Linked DNA regions of Canis lupus familiaris. The protein of the gene in region 2 purifies or fractionates together with the protein of the main gene of each other region. This does not show direct contact. Links are inferred from orthologs where the notes say so. Each region holds a gene or a part of one and is shown on either strand. Other genes may lie near its edges. The genes, in order: SQSTM1, TRIB3 and COP1.

Region 1 (3,644 bases), on a different chromosome or scaffold from region 2:
CATTTCTATGATATCCTGTTCTTCTATCAAGGATGGAAGTACTTATTTGGATCTCATGGAGGATGCGGACACTCTCATCCTTCCCCATGTTCCTTCTTGTCCATACGCTGCGATTTTTCCCCAATGGCTGGCAACCACGGCAGTCTGATCCTAGCAAGGCATTATTAAGAGGAGGCTGCCAGGAGGAACCCCCTGAGGGGCCAGGGCCATGATTCGCTTTCCTCTGGAGGGTGATGGGGCACCTGGCCAGGCAGTGGGATCCTGGGTGGCAGAGCTACAGGACATTGCCCCGGCACGCATGGCCTCTCCCGAGCAGGGACACCTCAGCCCCTGCTGGACCGACTGCTCACTCAGGCTGCCGCCTCGCCCTGTGCCCTCCAGCATCTAACCATCAGGTCTCATGCCTGGGATGGCAGGGACCATCATTCGGCTGACCAGCCAGTAATGGCTACAGGATCCTGAAGACTGGTCTTCAAACACCCCCAATTCCCTGGCCTCTGATGCCTCCACACAGTTGCTCACCACCCTCAAAATCCACTGCTTGTCTTTCAAAGTTTAAGGTCATCTTACCTCGTCATCTAGGACTTTCCTTTTTCTTTGTCTGTGTTGCTTTATACTCTTGTGTTTAATCCCTTTATTGTCACTTTGGTAGAGTGAGGAGCAAACAGAGATAAAGACAGGCTTAGTTACCAATACTCCCATCTGCAATATTTAAGTCCTTTTTCTCCTTTTATCCTCTCTCCGACTTTTTTTTTTTTTTAAGATTTATTTATTCGTTTATTTGAAAGAGAGAGAGAGCAAGAGAGAACACAAGTGGAGGGGCAGAGGGAGAAGCAGACGCCCCACTGAGTAGGGAGCCCAATGTGAGGCTCAGTCCCAGGACCCTGAGATCATGACCTGAGCCAAAGACAGACGTTTAAGCCACTCAGATGCCCCCTCCCTCCAACTTTTCATCATGAAAGGGTCAAGCAGGGGCACCTGGATGGCTCAGTAGGTTGAGTTTCCAACCCTTGGTTTCAACTCAGGTTCTAATCTCAAACCCCATGTGTCCAGCTTAGTGCTCAGCTGGGAGTCTGCTTGGGATTCTCTCTCCCTCTGCCCTTCCCCCACACCTGCACACGCACTCTCTCAAGAAATAAACCTTTAAAGAAAAAAGGAAAGGTTCAACCAAACAAAAAAGTTGGAAGAACAGTACAGTGAACACCCATACACCGTCTAACTTTTCTGTGTGAGCAAATGACAGGACCTTTGTAAAGGAATCAGTGACTACAAACCCAAGCCAGAGCAGTCCTGTGACTCCATGGTAGACCCGCTCAGCTGGTTCTTATGGCACCTACCAAACAAGGTCTTGGGGTTTTACTTTGAAACCGCTGAGTCACTGCACACAGTCTGCCCTCTGGGAGGTATTACTGTCTGTCCCTCTGGGCCCCTGCTCTGGGAACAGTCCCTTCTAGGCAGTTAGCAGGATGAGTCATCCTAGCTGTCAGTTCCTTGTAACAAAGGAAAATACCTATAACTCTAGAGTTGAATCAATTCCTCAAGTGGCCCTCCTCAACTGAAACCCTCAAAGGCATACTTACTGAAACTTCCCTTGTTTTTCTGGACAGCTCTAGGCTCCTCCCGAGTTGGTACAAAGTAACTCCATCCACTTTGAAAGACCTGAAAAGGCCTTTACCCTTATCCTACAACACCTGAGCACTGCCAAAATTATTCCCGTAAGTCCTGTGTAGGGAATTTGGGTCAAGCTCTAAAACATGCCCCCAGCGCAGATGGGCCTCAGGATGGACAGCAAGTGCGACCCAAAGTCACTGGCAAGCCTTCAAAACACACAGATCCCAGGCCCAACCCAAGACTAATTTACCAGGATCCAGAATGTTGACCTGGGATTCTGCACAGCTTCCCGTGCCCCTAAATCACAACCCATTAGAGGACCATCTCTCAAAGTTCAACACAGCCTCGTGCTTTCGTCACCACATCTCGAGTGGCAGCCGGGGTTTAGCAATAGGCTTATCTCCCGATTATGACCTAATCACTGCTCCGTTTTTATCCTCCTTAGAAAGCACTAAGAACATCAGCGCTCTTTTCACTTTCTCTAAAGAGCCTTTGACTCCAGTCCCAAAAACAGTATATGGTCTGAGCTATTTCACGGAGCAGCAAGGCCAGGACATCACTGCTGCTTTGAAATTGTGTCCTGGCCTTGAGGAGTGGCAGCTGAAACGGTATCCAGTGGGAGGCAAGAGCAGTCCTGCCTCCCTTCCCATCTGCATCCTTTCAGACAGGCCTTCTAGGCCACCTGAGCGGACACTTCCTGCCACCGCAGTCACAGAGGTGAGCGCTCTTCTAGGCAAAGATCACAGACCTGCTGTAATCCTGCACCAGAGATCACCTTTGTCATGGACTCCCACTGCCACAGGGCCCAGCCCTGCAGCGACCACCGTCAGGGCTGCAGATGCAACAGGTGCCTTCTAAAGCCTTGGGCCAGGCTCACCACTCGGGGGTACCTGCTTTGGTTCACCCACCCAGACACTTCACACCTGAACTGAGGGCCAGGTACCGGGCATCATATAGAACTCCCGCCTCCCTCATGCCCTGCTCCCTAGCATGGGCACAAGCCTGGTACTCGGCAAGCACCAAAAAGGCTGGTACTGCAAAAGACAAAAGGGAGGAAAAGAGAAATGGCCTCTCAACTAATGACTCACCCAAGTCCTTGAGTAAACCCTGGGCTGTTTGTAGGGTGGACGTGAGGAGCAGACTGTCCTCTGTGGGAAGAACAGTCAGAGGCTGACAGGCCAACCCCGTAGCTCAGCCTACTGGGATTATCCCAACCAACCACTCTGATTCCACTTCATTCCATGGGGAAAGCTCAAGAATCTGTCAGGGAATTCAAATGAGTGGCCTGCAGTGCCGCGCTATGGCAAAGGCCTATGTGACGCTACAAGGGCACGGCAGTTAGCATTCCTCTACAGCAACCCAGGGGCCAGCCGCCCAAAGCCACCCATCACCCAGCACTCGGAGTTGCTGCCACTCCCAAAGTACAGAGGCAGCCACTTACCCAAAGGGCTCAGGGCAGCCGCCACACTCTCCCCGACATTCTTGAGGAAATTCACACTGGGATCCTCCGATGGACCAGAAACTTTGGTTTTCAAAGAAACAAAAACATTCAATTCAAAGCAGATTTCTCAAGGACTTGAACACCTGTTACAATCACATCACCTTCATCACAGGGGCCATCCATCCCTGGGACCCTGCCCCTCCATCGCCACCATTCTGGGCTGCTCTGTGACACTGCTGTTCAGAAGCCGGGGGGGATTCACTGCATGGGGTATGAAATATGGACCCCATTCTAGCTCAGATGTCAAATATCAAACAAACAAACCTCCTCACCTTGGTTCCAAAGAACAAGGTAAACCAGAGGAACAGAAAAATAATAAATTTAGAATAAAACCAGAATCTAAAATTCTGAAACACAAGTTATATGTTAAGTGTTTAACTCTGTGAATACGCTTAAAAATATTTCAGCAGGATGCCCTGCTGGCTCAATCAGTAGAACATACAATGCTTGATCTCAGGGTCGTGGGTTCAAGCTCCCAGCTAGATATAAAGCTTACTTAAAAAAAATAAATAAATAAAAAGGCTTGACAAGA
Region 2 (3,644 bases):
GGGCAAAGGCACCGCGGCGGATCTTGCCAAAGAGCAGGACAGGCTCTGAGTCCTGGAAGGGGTAGTGGCCCGCCAGCATGGTGAAGAGCGCCACGCCCAGGCTCCAGACATCGGCGGCCTTGCCCGAGTACGAGGCCCTGGAGCTGAGGATCTCGGGCCCCACGTAGGCTGGGCACGCGTGCTTGTCCCACAGGGAGTCGTCGGGCCCGGTCAGCACACAGGCGTCCTCCAGGTTCTCCAGCACCAGCTTTGTCCTGTGGCAGGTGGAGACAGAGGGGTCAGCTCTCATGGGGACTCCCATGCCGCCACCCCTCACTATCACCCCCTTTAAAAAATATATTTTAGGGATCCCTGGGTGGCGCAGCGGTTTGGCGCCTGCCTTTGGCCCAGGGCGCGATCCTGGAGACCCGGGATCGATTCCCACGTCGGGCTCCCGGTGCATGGAGCCTGCTTCTCCCTCTGCCTGTGTCTCTGCCTCTCTCTCTCTCTCTGTGACTATCATAAATAAATAAAAATTAAAAAAAAATAAAAAATATATTTTATTTATTTATTCATGAGGGACACAGAGAGAGGCGGAGACACAGGCAGAGGGAGAAGCAGGCTCCCCGCAGGGAACCCGATGCGGGACTCGATCCCGGGACCCTGAGATCACGGCCTGAGCCGAAGGCAGGTGCTCAACCAGAGACACCCGGGTGTCCCCACACTATCACCCTTGATGGCACCCGGTTTCTGAGCGCTGGCTGGCATTTGGCAGAATTGAGTGGTTGATTAATCACATTCTACCCATTTTACCAGGCTCAGAGGTATTAAGTCATTTCTCAAGGCCACAGAGCAATTCAGTTTGAACTAGGACTCTGAGAGGAGCCCATTTCCAATAGTCCCTTGGGGAGGGGACGAGGGGGCCAAGAACACTAAGCCTCTCCTTAACCAGAGGCAAACAGGATCCAAGCAGGTAATAAAGTGAGAGAAATAGAAGTGGAGACCATGCCAAACACCTCAACACAAACCCTGCCTGAAAGGGCACGGCTCACAACATTACAGTGGATATTATGGGGTGTCCCCTGGGTACCTGACCCAGAGCCAAACTCATTACCTGGTGTGTCTCATTTCGTCCTCACAGTCCGTCTCACAGCCCCAGCTCTCACCTACTAAGCGCCATGGCTGTGAACCTCTCACCGTTCCCAAAGGGGCCCCACGTTCCCATTTTTCCCCAAGAGAAGCCAGAAATCAGATTCTAATGAAAAATCCCACTTTTCAAACGTTGGCAGCCAATTTCAATCAAAAACAAATGAACAGGGCAGCCAAGGTGGCTCAGCGGTTTAGCGCCACCTACAGCCCAAGGCGTGATCCTGGGGACCTGGGATCGGGTCCTGGGTCGGGCTCCCTGCATGGAGCCTGCTTCAACCTCGGCCTGTATTTCTGCCTCTCTCGCTTTCTCTCATGAATAAATGAATAAAATCTTTAAAAAAAACCCACCAACAACAAATGAACATGTAAATGAGGCAAGAAAAAAAAAAGTGTGTGTAACCCACTTGCAACTTCCACTTTAAACAATTTCCACAGAGCACTCTGAGTTACTTTATTTATTGATTGATTGATTTATTTTTAAATTTTTATTTATTTACGATAGTCACAGAGAGAGAGAGAGAGAGAGAGAGGGAGAGAGAGGGAGAGAGGCAGAGACACAGGCAGAGGGAGAAGCAGGCTCCATGCACCGGGAGCCCGACATGGGACTCGATCCCGGTTCTCCAGGATCGCGCCCTGGGCCAAAGGCAGGCGCCAAACCACTGCGCCACCCAGGGATCCCCTCTGGGTTACTTTAATAATAAACATTGTTACCAATGCCACTTTTTAAAAAATTACCACTGCTATTAAGATTATTCTATGACACCATTTCCTGGGTGTCCGCTGGCATTTCACAAACATTGACCAGTCCTGTGAATCATAGCTCTGGGTGGTGCTTGGCCCATTTTACAGATGAAAAAAATCAAGGCTCAGGCAGGTGAAGCCATTGTTCAAGACCAAAGAGCAGATAAAAATGTAGAACCAAGATTCAAAGCCAGGTCTGACTCCACCAGCCCTCTTCTATAAACAGTGCTTCGCAAACTATTGCCTTAAAAAGACAAAGAAGCACTTTTTCAAAAAAAAAAAAAAAAAAAAAGAAGCACTTTTTCACCTTGGCAGGCCTGTGGGTAATGAAACTTGCCCTAAGTTCAAAATTATTTGAAGCTGTGTATTAGCTTAAAAATCATTACAAAATTTACATTCTACTTCTTACTAAAGGATGTTCCTTATAGAATAAAATGTAGAAGGAAATAGAAAATCACCCTTAGGTAAGCATTACAGTAGTAACTGCTACAGGCAAGGTGGATGCCCTGTGAAATCCGTGGGTAAGTTTGAGGAGAAACAGTATTTATACTCATGGCCTTGAAGTACCTGCCCAAGGTATGTATGTGTGTATGTATGTATTTTTAAAAATTTTTAAAAAGATTTTATTTAGTTTGACAGAGAGAGAGAGAGACCACAAGCAGGGGGAGTAGCAGGCAGAGGGAGAGGGAGAAGCAGTCTCCCCGCTGAACAGGGAGCCAGATGTGGGGCTTAATCCTAGGACCCTGTGATCATGACCAGAGCCTAAGGCAGATGCTTAACTGACTGAGCCACTCAGGCGCCCCAAAAGGTAAATACTTTTTATTTATTTATTAAAGATTTTACTTACTTATTCATGAAAGACACAGAGAGAGAGGCAGAGACATAGGCAGAGGGAGAAGCAGGCCCCATTGCAGGGAGCCCAATGTGGGACTCGATCCCGGGATGGGGTGATCACGTTCTGAGCCAAAGGCAGATGCTCAACCACTGAGCCACCCAAACGTCCCAATACCTTTTAATTACAAATGGTAGGGACACCTGGGTGGCTCGGCGGTTGAGTGCCTGCCTGCCTGGGATGGCTCAGGGCGTGGTCCTGGGATCAGGGATCAAGTCCCACATCAGGTTCCTGCTTGGAGCCTGCTTCTTCCTCTGCCTGTGTGTCTCTGCCTCTCTCTCTCTCTCTGTGTGTCTCTCATTGAATAAATAAATAAAATCTTTTAAAAATTTAAATATTAAATATTTAATTGATTAATTAATTAATTTTTATTCATTAAAATTAATTGAAGTTAATTAATTTAATTAATATTAAAATATTAAATGATCAATGACTCGATCCAGGGTCTCCAAGATCATGCCCTGGGCTGAAGGAGGCACTAAACCACTGAGCCACCCAGGCTGCCCAAATAAAATCTTTTTAAAAAAATTACAAAGGGTAAATTAGGAATGTTACAGTAGAGAAACATGGCAGAAACCACCTTAACCAAATGACTGAGGTTAACATCACAGTACTATGTATCACCACATGTCTCCTGACAAGGCGTGCTGAGAGGGGCCTATCACTCTTGTAGTACTCTTCTTTTTTTTTTTTTTTTTTTTAAGATTTTATTTATTTGAGAGAGAGAGCGCATGTGTGAGTGGGGGCAGGGAGAGGGACAGAATCTCAAGCAGACTCAGCCCTGAGCACAGAGCCCCACATAGGGCTCCATGCAGGACTCGATCTCATGACCCTGAGATCATAACCTGAGCTGAAACCAAGAGTCGGATGCTTAACCAACTGA
Region 3 (4,405 bases), on a different chromosome or scaffold from region 2:
ACTGAAATAGTTAAAAATTAGGTGACAGACAAAAATTTTAATGATCTTACCACCACCACTACACCCTCCTTGCAAAAAACAAAAACAAAGAACAACAACAACAACAACAAAAACCAATGCCAACTGCTTATATTATCCTATGGCTCTCTAATTCCCTACAAAATAGTCAATATACAACTCATGGTGCCTGGCAGACAGTTGTGCCAAATAAATATCTGTTGAATAAATTATTGATTCTCTTATTTCTCACATCTTCACTACTATTTCAGTGCACCTATAGGAATGCTGGCATATTTGTTTTCTTTTAACCCTCTAAAAATTAAAATGTGGGGATCCCTGGGTGGCTCAGTGGTTTAGCGCCTGCCTTTGGCCCAGGGCGCGATCCTGAGGATGCGGGATCAAGTCCCACGTCGGGCTCCCGGCATGGAGCCTGCTTCTCCCTCTGCCTGTCTCTGCCTCTCTCTCTCTATGTCTATCATGAATAAATAAATAAAATCTTTTAAAAATAAAATAAAATAATTAATTAATTAAAATGCAAATGGTGGTTAAAAAGACAAATCCAAGCAGCGCGGGTGGCTCAGCGGTTTAGCGCCGCCTTCAGCCCAGGGTGTGATCCGGGGATCCTGGGATGGAGTCCCCACATCAGGCTCCCTGCAGGTAGCCTGCTTCTCACTCTGCTTGTGTCTCTGCCTCTCTCCGGGTCTCTCATGAATAAATAAATCTTAAAAAAACAAAAAAAAAGAAGAAGAAGAAAAAGAAAAAGAAAAAGAAAGAGAAAAAGAGAAAGAGAATTTTTGAAAATCCTCATTTTGTTTCATCAGCTTCTACTTCATCATATGGCACCCTACTTACTGGGTATGAGCATAAACACCTCTTAGACCCACCCATAAGCTAGTTAAATTATTTATAAATAACAATTATAGCCAAGTTTCAATGAGAAACGAATTAATTGTCTCAATCCAGAGTAATGTAAGACCAAAGCAGAAATAGGAGTGAAGATAATTTTACTGCAAGACCTAGAAACTCTAATCAATTATCTTTCCTACAGTTCCATCGTGTAGCCCAATCTTACTTAATGATGCCAACTCACATCATCTTCAACCCTGAGGTAAATCAACTTCCCCTATAATGACAGCGCAAGCCAACTTCCTACTCATGTTCTAAGTCTATCAACAATTTCCTCCAAAAGAAAAGTGCAAAATCCTACCCGTTCTCACTTAACTAGAAGCAATTCCTTTCTCCTACTCCTACTGTTTGGATTGGGTTCTGGATACAAAAACCCAATGAGAAATCCCAAAACACTTCCAGCAAGACAATCCACTCCATCTCTCACTTAATATAGATAACCCAACTCTGCCAGACATCCTAACGGTATACTACTGTGTATCGTTCAAGATGCCAACTATGATGACAAGGTGTCTACTACCTGGCGTTCCTCAGATCGGAAGTTCCAGGGCACTGTAACCTGTTACACAAATGTAGTACAGCTACATCCGACACATGGATGCTGTTGAATAAATGTGGTTCCCTCGCGTCCAAGGCATTTAGTGACAAGTGGAAATTTTTGTGAACAGATTTTTATGACTACAGTAGCCTCAACAGCAGATTTAAAAGTGGCCTACCCTTTGAAGTGGGAGGATATTTATACACACACACACGAGGGATACTGACATGAAATACTACTTCTCCTTAAAATATCCATACCCACGTCTGGAGCACCATCTACCACACTTCCAATAAGCAAATTTGACCAACTCCGTCCCTCGGCCTCCCAGGAAGCTTAATCCTCTCCTTTTACAAGTTCAACAAGAAATCCGGACCGACAGGGTGTCGAATTCACCAGAAAGCAGAAAATTCACCAGAAAACAAAAAAACAAAACAAAAAAAAAAAAAAAAAAAAAGCAAGGCCCAACTTTCCCCGTTTACGCACCACCATTTACCCGACCCTCCTTCTCGGCCCCCTGACGCGTAATTCTTCCTTGGACTCCCCTCACGTCCTCCCCAGCAGCCCGGGCCTCCGCAGTCACCCCCACGTCCTCCGCCGGCCTGAGGGTCTGCAGACGCCGCCCCGGCACCACCTAGACCACCCTCCCGCCGCACCCCGCCAGCCCACACCGCGCAAACTCCTCGTGCCGCGGCGGGCAGGGCGATGCTCTTCCAACTCACCACACGAAGTCGTTGCTTTTGTCCTCGTAGGAGTTGATGAGCCCGTTGCACAGGGGGGCGAGCAGAGGTCTCTTCCGGCTGCCGCTGCCGAGGCCGGAGCTGCTCCCTCCCACGCCGGCGCTGGGCCTGGCCGCGCAGCTGAGCCGAGACTGGCCCGCGGACACCGCCCCGCCGCCGCTGCCCGACACGGCGGCCGCCACCAGCACAGGCCGCGCCGCCGGGCCCCCGAGGCCGCCCGACCCCGCGGCCTGGGCCGCCCCGCCGGACGCCGCCGCCGCCGCCGCCGCCGCCGCCGCCGCCGCCGCCGAAGGGGGCGACGGGGAGGAGGACAAGGACGAGGAGGCGGAAGTCACCGAGGAGGCCGCCGAGGAGCCGGGGCTGGTCCCGGCGGAGCCCGACCCGGCCTGGCGGCTCCCGGACATCGTGCCTCCCCCACCTCCGGCCGGGCGCTCGGAGAGGGACCGCGACCCGCCGCCGCCTCCCTCCCCTCACCTCCCCTCAACCTCAGTGCATCCTGAGGCCGCGCGCCGCGCCGCGCCGCGCCGGGAGGTGGGGCTGAGGAACAATAAAGTTGATCTTTTTTTTTCTTTTTTCTTTTTTTTTTTTTTTTTGTTTAAGGCGAGCACACAGCCGCGTCCGACGGGAGGAGGGGGCGGAGGAAACTGAAACAGCGGAGGAGAAACCACTGCCGCCGCCGAGGCCGCCACCGCCGCGAGCCCCGCCGCAGCCAACCGGGGCGCGCCGAGGGCCGGCCGTGCGCGCGCGCGAGCGGCGGAAGGGGCGGGAGCGGCGGCGGAGACAACCTCGAGGGCGGCTGGGACGCGCGCGGCGCGCCCCCGGCGGCGGCCTAGCAACGCGGGCTGCGCTCGTCCGCAGCCGAGCGGCGGGTGACGTACGGGGGGGAAGGGGGGAAGGGGGAGGGGGAGGGGAGGGAGGGAGGGAGGGGGTGGGGCTGTCCCAAAGGGTGAAAGGGCTGCGGAGAGGGGAATGAATGATAGGGTGGCGCCCGCGCTTGGGAGCTGGCGGGGAGGGGAGCGCGCCGAAGCGACTGCGCACGCGCTCTGGGCGCCGACCCTGGCTGCCGCCCGGGTCGCGGCCCCCCGCTCGGAGCGGCGCTGGCGCGGACCGGCTGCAGCACTGCGTGGGGCGACCGCCTTCCTGAAGGCCGAGACGCGGCTGCAGCCCGCGGCCCGGGCATGGCAGGTGCTTCCGAGTCGCCTTCTGAAGCCTCCGTGGACGCTACGGGAAAGACCCGGGGCTCTGAGCGGCTGAGAAGAGCCCTGCATTGACCCTCCACGAGTCTGGGCCCTGCTGTTAAGCCATTCATTCCACGCGGCTGTGAGGAGTCCATTAAGATGAAGTCAGTCACCGGTGCTTTGTAAATTGCAAACATCGTAGCAAGTGTTATCGATTATTATTGGTCCGACCGTGCTGTCTTGCATCTTGAAACATGAATTTACCAAATTAAGCATGACGATGACGAGAAAACCAGTTCTATCTGATCTGACCACGGCTCAGCCAGAATCTCGGTTTAATGTGGATCTGATATCCTCTACCACAAAACAAGGAAACCTGGCGCTTAATACCACGAAAAAAAGAAAAGAAATGTGTAATTTCTGGTAGCTTTTTGGAATACGGAAAATTGGATACAGGTTCTTCATTTGCCATTTTGAGACTCCCCAAGATTCTGGGTGATGTAAATTAGAAACAACTGGGTTGTTTTCGGTATTCTTTTCCAATCCTCGTCCTGTGGTTCTTAGAGGGAAAGATCCCAGATTTATTTTTGTTTAAAGATTTTATTTATTTATTCATGACAGACACAGCGAGAGAGAGAAAGAGGTAGAGACACAGGCAGAGGGAGAAGCAAGCTCCATGCAGGGAGCCCAACGTGGGACTCCATCCAGGGTCTCCAGGGTCACAACCTGGGCCGAAGGCGGTGCTAAACCGCTGAGCCACCCGGGCTGCCCAAGATCCCAGATTTAATTCTGTCCTTTGAAGACCTTTCCCTAGGAACCTTTATCCATGCTGAATGAACTGAACCAGAGGGGCCCTGATGAAAGCCCAACAAAAAGACCTAGCCATTCATCTGAGCAGTGTTCCATCAAAAGGCTGTCATCCCCACATCAGCCTTTGCTGCTTACCTTCCTACCTTCCTACTTTCTGCTCAGGATAATGATAGAGGAATGAGCTTATCATATTTCCAAGAACCACCCCACCCTCCTTGTGTGAGTATTGCATT

Evidence for each region.
Region 1: the proteins of TRIB3 (region 2) and SQSTM1 purify together in Homo sapiens (affinity purification with western blotting; 3 studies listed by BioGRID). This does not show direct contact. The link is inferred for Canis lupus familiaris from reciprocal best matches to the Homo sapiens genes TRIB3 and SQSTM1.
Region 3: the proteins of TRIB3 (region 2) and COP1 purify together in Homo sapiens (affinity purification with mass spectrometry; 5 studies listed by BioGRID and IntAct, counting the BioPlex papers as one, with this or other methods). This does not show direct contact. The link is inferred for Canis lupus familiaris from reciprocal best matches to the Homo sapiens genes TRIB3 and COP1.

Annotation. Positions count from the first base shown.
Region 1 is NC_049232.1:2,128,923-2,132,566, forward strand, and holds part of SQSTM1 (sequestosome-1), read right to left. Parts: intron 3,134-3,644; coding exon 3,053-3,133; intron 2,760-3,052; coding exon 2,700-2,759; intron 1-2,699. UniProt on the Homo sapiens protein: Molecular adapter required for selective macroautophagy (aggrephagy) by acting as a bridge between polyubiquitinated proteins and autophagosomes.
Region 2 is NC_049245.1:20,955,996-20,959,639, forward strand, and holds part of TRIB3 (tribbles homolog 3), read right to left. Parts: intron 255-3,644; coding exon 1-254. UniProt on the Homo sapiens protein: Inactive protein kinase which acts as a regulator of the integrated stress response (ISR), a process for adaptation to various stress. Inhibits the transcriptional activity of DDIT3/CHOP and is involved in DDIT3/CHOP-dependent cell death during ER stress.
Region 3 is NC_049228.1:23,215,855-23,220,259, reverse strand, and holds the start of COP1 (E3 ubiquitin-protein ligase COP1), read right to left. Parts: upstream 2,915-4,405; 5' UTR 2,589-2,914; coding exon 2,167-2,588; intron 1-2,166. UniProt on the Homo sapiens protein: E3 ubiquitin-protein ligase that mediates ubiquitination and subsequent proteasomal degradation of target proteins.